2 linked regions of the Drosophila melanogaster genome follow. The protein of the gene in region 1 interacts with the protein of each later gene in a pairwise test. Each region holds a gene or a part of one and is shown on either strand. Other genes may lie near its edges.

Region 1 (3,460 bases):
TGGAGGAGCTACTTCTGATGGTGGCCTGTCCGAGAGGGAGCGACGACTGGGAGTTCTTCGACGCCTAGCAAAGCAGTTGGAACTAGCTCTGGCGCCGGGAAGCGAAGCCATGCGTTCTATTGCTGCCCGAATGGAAAGTGCCGAGGCCGACCTGAAGCACCTGCAGAACACCTGTAGAGACTTAATTGTTCGCACTGCAGCTAGCCACCAGCAGAAGCAGCAGATCCAGCAAAATCAGACCCAGCAGGTGTCACCGAAGGCCAATGGACACATTAAGAAGCAGGCCGCAAAGGGCAAGGCAGAACCCCAGTCGCCTGGCAGACGTGGTAAAGGAGCTCGAAAGGCGCGTCAGGCCAAGAAGGCTGGAGAGGATCAGCAAGTAGAGGAGCCAAGTCTCAGCCCAGAACAGCAGAAGATGGTCCTGAAGCAACTCAAGACCTTGACAAGTGGCGATGGTGGGGACGACCCCTCTGACGATCCCTCGTTGCTCTTCAACCTGGAAAGCTCCGAGGAAGATGGAGAGGGAGCGGATCCTGCACAGACCTCTAAGCGAGGGTGGGCGTGGCGCATCGCGAGGGCGGCAGTGCCTATGCAGGTGGCCCTGTTCACAATCTTCTGCGCTGCCTGCCTGATGCAACCCAACTGCTGCGACAATCTGAACAACCTGTCCATGAGCTTCACGCCGCAGCTCCGCTATATCCGTGGACCACCTCCGATCTGAGGACAGAGCGCGACTAATTAAGCAGGCCGCTAATCGTTGTAGGTTACCGTTACGTTATGTTAAGGCATTTAACAGCTGTAACTAGAGTTAACCAGCGCAACCAGCCACTTAGGCAGAGCCACTAAGAGCTCGCCTGTGGCGCGCGTTTTCCGCGCTCGAGGTTTTACAATCCCGAACAGAGCGCTCTCCTCCGAAAGGTGCGACACCCAGAGGCAGCCCAATTTTATATGTCTAATTTAGGTAGCGAGCGCGAAAGGAACGCAATTTATAGTAAGGATGTATTTGTTATTTCGGTTAATTTCCTACGAGTTTAGGTTGCTGTTCGATTGAACGCTGAATATGTACTTAGGCGAGGAGCAGACGATGCCCAGCCACGTGTAAACTGCCGCATAAAGGAACAAAGGGGCGGATCGTCCCCCAGATTCTTACCCAGTAAATATGATACAAACACAATGATCAATTGAGTGGCGTTTTTGTATACTTTTTTGTTTGAAAAACACTAAAGTGCCTACAAATGCGAACTGTGAACGAGGAGCTACCAGCAGATGACAAAGGATCCGTCGAGGAGTCCAAACGAGAGTATGAATCCAAGGCACCGAAGCAAACAGAAGCTAAAAAGCCAACAGCACTAAGGAGCTAGCAATGGAGCTCACCAGAACAGCGATGAAGAATCAGAGTTTATATTTTTATACGCAACGCAACTATACACAATCAGTGCGGAGACAACGAATCTTCAGCCAACACACATCATACGTTTTATGTCTATTATATTAATAGGATAAACCTTACACTTATTTTGCAAGAAAACAAAAATTCAACAAAAAAAAAAAAAACGAAAATATCTCTTAGGTTCGTGTTTGGAATTCCTAGACTTAGTTTATGGTTTACTCACTCCTGGCAGATGATCATTGTAATATACTTATAAGGTTTATACTATACTTTGTGCGTTTTCAAAACTTTCACTTGGCATTAAAAATACAAAACAGAAAATATCATTTATACACAAAAAAACATTAAAGAAAAAGTATTAAAAAGAAAAAATCGATTTCTGGCTTTAATTCAACATTTCGTAGCTTGCTTCTAGGATAAATGTAGGCTGAAAATAGGCTGGAAGCTTTTGAGCTCACTAAAGATGTATGGTCAAAGCGCTTATAAGTGCCTCCGGGTGCTAAAGATCTTTTATAGACATAGCAACCTGGACTTGATATATGTAACTTAGTTTGCAGTTAATTTACTTCATTCTCCCCAAAATTATCTGCCTAAAATGGTCTAGGGAACTTGCTACAAAATCAAGTGTGTATATAATAATGATCTAGAAACCGGAGGGCAACGGCGACGAATAGGGGCATTATCGGGACCACCTGGAGGCCGCTGAAGGGACCTAACACTACCTAAAATAAACAGCTTCGTCATGGCGGCTCTGGTGGACGAAAGCAACTACGCCTATGTGAAGCAGGTGGCTCTGGACTGGCGGGAGCTGGTGCGCGAGAAGCGCAAGAGCAATATCTTTTCGCCCACGATAAGCATGCAGGCGGTTGATTCCCAACAGCCGATAGGGGACACAAGGTCGCGGACACAGTCGATGATTCCGGCCGAGAGACGCGAGTCCAGCTTCTACCGGCACCGCTTCTCGCAGCAGGCCAAGCCCGTGGAGATCGAGTGCCAGGAGGTCGGATCAATGGAGCCAGACCGCATTCGGGTTAGCGGAGACATTCTGCTCTACATCTACCAACCGATTTTTGTGTCAAACACAGTGATGGCCTCCATTCAAGCCTGGTCGCCCAGTGAAATAAGCATAACGTCGTCCAAACTGAAGGAGCCTATTAGAGAAGAGAACCCCACGGCTAAGGTGGAATCCGATCCATCACCCGAGCCCATGTCGCCGTAATCATGAAATCCGGTGATTCTTTTTATACCATCCTAATCGTTTAGCACTTGTGAGCAATAAAGAAAATGTAAATCTGACCATTTTAACAGAAACGTAATGCCAAATCATTACAGCGTTTAAAGGGCGTATCTCAGACCCGTAGCCAGGTTTCTTTAAACCAGTTTCTTGCCTACTCTTGTCTAAGCTCGATATCCTGTTTGCCTTCCATCGAACATCCTCAATTTGTGGGACGTCCGTTGACGTTGATGGATCTGCGCCAAATGAAACGCACTGCAAAGCTGACCTGAACGAGGGAACACCACCTACATATATGCCGCACGGCGACAAAGGTGAAACCCAAAGCAGGGCTTCCTTCAGAAAGTTTTGCTTATGTAAAGCCAACAACCAATGAAAATTGAGTTAAGTACATAAATTCAAACTTCCCCTCTTCCATGAGACGTGGATTTCTCTGTCTAACACACAAGCAGCCATATCTATGCATCCCTTTTCTGTGCATTCAGTTTTATAGCTATCTCAGTCTACTGTTAAGTGCATAGCATAGACACGAACCACTGTTAAACCTTTAAGAACGCCGTAAAAAGAAGTAATCAATAAATTTACGAGGTAGTTAATGAAGTCTAGACCGAGTAGATAATGTAATAAATTAAATTAAAAGGTTAGATTTTAAGCTCTGTTTATCTGTGCGATATTTATGTTCGAGACGATGGTTGTAAACTATCTATAAATTATTTATGGAGATAAATTTAACTTAAGTCAAAGTGAGTTTGTCCGGACGATCCTCAACTGGCTTCAAATGAAACTCGAAGCGTGTCAAGTGCCCGAACAATAAAAACATAATTTTGTTAACGCCT
Region 2 (3,790 bases), on another chromosome or scaffold:
TTTTGACATGTCTGAACTGAAACCGAAACTTGTTCAAAAAATTGAAAATTCATACATGCGCGTACACAACACACACGAAATATTTATAAAGTCAGACACAAGCCCCAAAGACCCCAAGAGGTTGCTTCCAGCAAGGAGTACGAGCCGGGCCCGCTGAGGCCACAGTAAAATTTAATTTTAATGCATAAGCAAATTGAATTTAAGCAACAGGAAAATTGTTCGTCTGGCCACAAAGGTGCCGCATGTGGAAGCAAAAACCACTTGCCAGGGAAACGAAAAGGCGGACTAAAACCACGTCGAGTGTTTCATGCTGAAAGTTTTCACCTGAAGAAGGCGAGGCGAAAATTCCTTAAACCAACCACAATTACCGAAATGGGGTGCCTTCATCAAACATTTTTAAGAGCAGGACATGCTTGAAAAATTCTCGGTCTCCGAATTAGGCAAAGGAAAAACTAGCACACCGCAAAAATATAATTGAAATAATTGGGGGCGTATTAAAAAGTGTTCGAAAATAGTTAGACCGCAGAGAAGTGTAAATTGTATTTTTTGAAGAGAAATACACGATTTTTTTTATGCAGTGACCCCAAATATTTTTATTTCATTTAAAGTAGCTGTACTACTTCTGGCTTATCATCCATACGAATTCCTCGTAGTTGATCATGCCATCCCCATCAAAATCAGCCTCGCGAATCATCTCATCGATCTCCTCGTCGGTGACCTTTTCGCCCAGATTGATCATCACAAAGCGAAGCTCAGCTGGTGATATAAAGCCATCGCCATCACGATCAAAAATCTTGAATGCCTCACGCATTTCCTCCTCAGTGTCAGTTTCCCGCATTTGCTTGGCCATTATACCGCAGAACTCAGTGAAGTTCAGTTGGCCATTGTTGTTGTTCTCGGCCTCAGCTATCAAATCTTGCAACTCGGCCTCCGTTGGATTCTGGCCCAAGGTGCGCATCAATGTGCCCAGCTCACGGGTGGCGATCTTGCCGGTTCCCTCCTTGTCGAACTGGACAAAGGCATCCTTGAACTCGGCAATCTGCTCCTCCGTTAGTTCGGACATCTTGATAAATTTTCAAAGATTTTCGGTATTTATCGAGATATTTTTAAATGCTTGCAGAGCTATAGACTGTTGGAATTTACGAAAGGGAATGAGCCGAAACTGTTTTGATGATACTGATACTGACAGGTCGGGTTCCCAACCCCTAAAGCCTGCTTTTTCCTTATGTAGTGGACATCATTCTGACAAATCGCACATAGTCTATATTGCCTTCCAAATCAGAATTTGCATCACGGATGATCTCCTCCACCTCATCATCCGTCAATTGCTCCCCCATGTTCTGCATTATGTGACGAAATTCCGATTCAGATATTAAGCCGGTTCCTTCTTTGTCAAAGACTCTGAATGCAGCTATAATTTCATCCTCGGTAGACATGTTTGCGTACCTCTGAGACATGATGTGAAGGAAATCGCTGAGATATAACTCACCGGATCCATCAGCATCGATCTCGGCCTGAATTTCCTGCAATTCCATATCACTGGGATAGTGGGCCACAGACAGCATTAGTTGCCTGAGATTTGTTATAGGAATAACCTTAGTGTCTTGGTCGTCAAACAGGGAAAAGGCAATCTCCAAATCCTTGACCTGTTCTTCGGTCAGATTGTGGGTGCGAATGGTCCGTTCCTCTGGCGGCGGAGTAAGGAATTCGAAATCCATGGCCAAAGGAAGGGGTTGGGGGTGGGAAAATTTTGGGGTCACTGAACACTCACTACAAATTTTCGACAAACTTTAGTTCACAACTTCATATTTATAATTTAATAACAAGAAAAGCCTACTCTTGTTATCATTTTATCTATTGTATATTGGCTTTTTTTTTTTTTTAAAGAATAGTCCAAACTGGTGGTATCCGATATTTCAAGATCTTCGATTCCATTGGCCATGCTTTTGAAATTTATTGATTAGATCTACAATCGGTTATGTTTTTTATTTTTCAAAGAGAGTGTTACGTCTCCATCATCATGGTCACAAAGCGAACGTAGTCGATTTTCAGTTCCGTGTTGGCGTCGGCATCACGTATCATTTCCTCGATCTCGTCCTCTTCCATTTCATCGCCATATTCAGTCATTATCTGACGGAACTCATTCTCGTGTATAAAGCCAGATCCATCTTTGTCGAAGACTTTGAAAGCGAGGATAACTTCATCTTCGACGGTCAAATTCTCGTACCGTTTCGACATGATGTATAGGAAATCACTGAGATAAAGCTCGCCGGATCCATCCGTATCAATTTCGGTTATATAATCCTGTATCTCGTTTTCCGGCGGGTTGTGGGCCACGGCTCGCAGGCAATCTCTCAATAACTTGATCGGAATGACCTTGGCATTATCGTCGTCGAAGAGGGCGAAGGCCGCCTCACAATCCTTGAGCTGTTCATCATTCAGCGTGTGGGTATGAACTGTTCGTACCTCCGGAGGTGGACTACTGAAATCAAAGTCATCCATGGCAAATTGTAAGTATACCTTGGGCTAAAATTTGGATTTCCCGAAAAGATGAATTTTAAAATTTAGTTTTTCGAAAATAGTTGTGTTTAAATATTGTCTTTTCATTGACAGTTTTCCATTTAGACTGAAATTGTGGAAAATTCAAGGCATTGACAACAAAAGATTACTAGTTAGTTTTTTAAAATTTTTTTTTTGTTAGTTGCCCCACGCTCTTTTCTGACATGGTTCTTAAACTCATTTTCAGTAAGATAAATTTGTGAAATGGAAAAAACTACAACTGCTCCGTGATGCAGTAACACCGCAGTAAAATATAGCAGGATTTAACAATTAAATTTGCAACAATTTTCCGAATAATGTTTTCATAGCCTCTGGCTACCGCTTCGAGCAATGTGGCTGTTGAAAAGCATGGGTAATTACATTTTTAATTAAATGCGTCGCAGTTTGTTCTGTTTTTATATTATTTTTATTTTTGTTGGTGCATTTATACAACTGTTCAGTATTTTTTCTGCTCAGCCATTTGCTGCCATCGTTGGTCTCTTGGGTCATAAAATGTTTTTTGTGTTTGTATTTTTTTTTTTTTTATTGAGCATTACGGGCAAATAGGGAAATTATCCAATGCAAAATTTCGAGCAATTTGCATAATTTGGGAGCGGAGAAGGCGAGAACCAAACTGCACAAACCCATGTCCCTGGCCATCAACCTTTCTCACACGTGCTCCTCCCAGTGGAGCGAACAATGGGGGCTTCTTGGTAATGAGAAGCAAATCCTGGCCACGAAGGACACAAAGGATTTAGGATTGGGGCCAAAGTTGAGCCACACAACAAGGCACTGTCAAGCATTTCTCTGCATAGATTAGAGAGGACTTTTCGGGCCAGAGATGCGGGATTATATATTTGTATGGAAAACAATAGTTCCAAGTATTACTTAGCAGGTAATATATTAATTAGGGCTACTAACTAAATAAATAAAAGTTGTTTGCGTTAAAGGAGAGTAAAAACAATTTGCTTAAAATAATTGGCAGATTTGTAGATCTCCCAACTAATAAATTCTATTCTGATGACCACATGTGTATATGTTTATACGATTGTCTGGTAAATGCAGCTCAGAATATGTTTGTTGTTTGACTTTAATCAGGCATAAACAGGACGATATAGCAACAGCCGAGCCGCAATCGAAATGGCAACAGACCTTTGGGGGATTTGGATAATTTGCATTTCTGTAGTGGGACAGGACACACATGCAAAGGGTTTTCATGTGCAAATCCCTTTATGCCAGTTTTGGAACCACA

Evidence for each region.
Region 2: the proteins of CG13891 (region 1) and Acam interact in a two-hybrid assay, tested with the Drosophila melanogaster proteins (2 studies listed by BioGRID).

The regions. Positions count from the first base shown.
Region 1 is NT_037436.4:432,379-435,838, reverse strand, and holds CG13891 (uncharacterized protein), read left to right. Parts: upstream 1-1,932; 5' UTR 1,933-2,132; coding exon 2,133-2,609; 3' UTR 2,610-2,693; downstream 2,694-3,460. Other genes in the region: klar (klarsicht), read left to right, coding at 1-721.
Region 2 is NT_033777.3:25,809,917-25,813,706, reverse strand, and holds Acam (androcam), read right to left. Parts: upstream 1,797-3,790; 5' UTR 1,719-1,796; coding exon of another isoform or gene 1,224-1,718; 5' UTR 1,064-1,223; coding exon 617-1,063; 3' UTR 573-616; downstream 1-572. Other genes in the region: CG17770 (uncharacterized protein), read right to left, coding at 1,224-1,718; CG5024 (uncharacterized protein), read right to left, coding at 2,005-2,502. UniProt on the Drosophila melanogaster protein: May be involved in calcium-mediated signal transduction.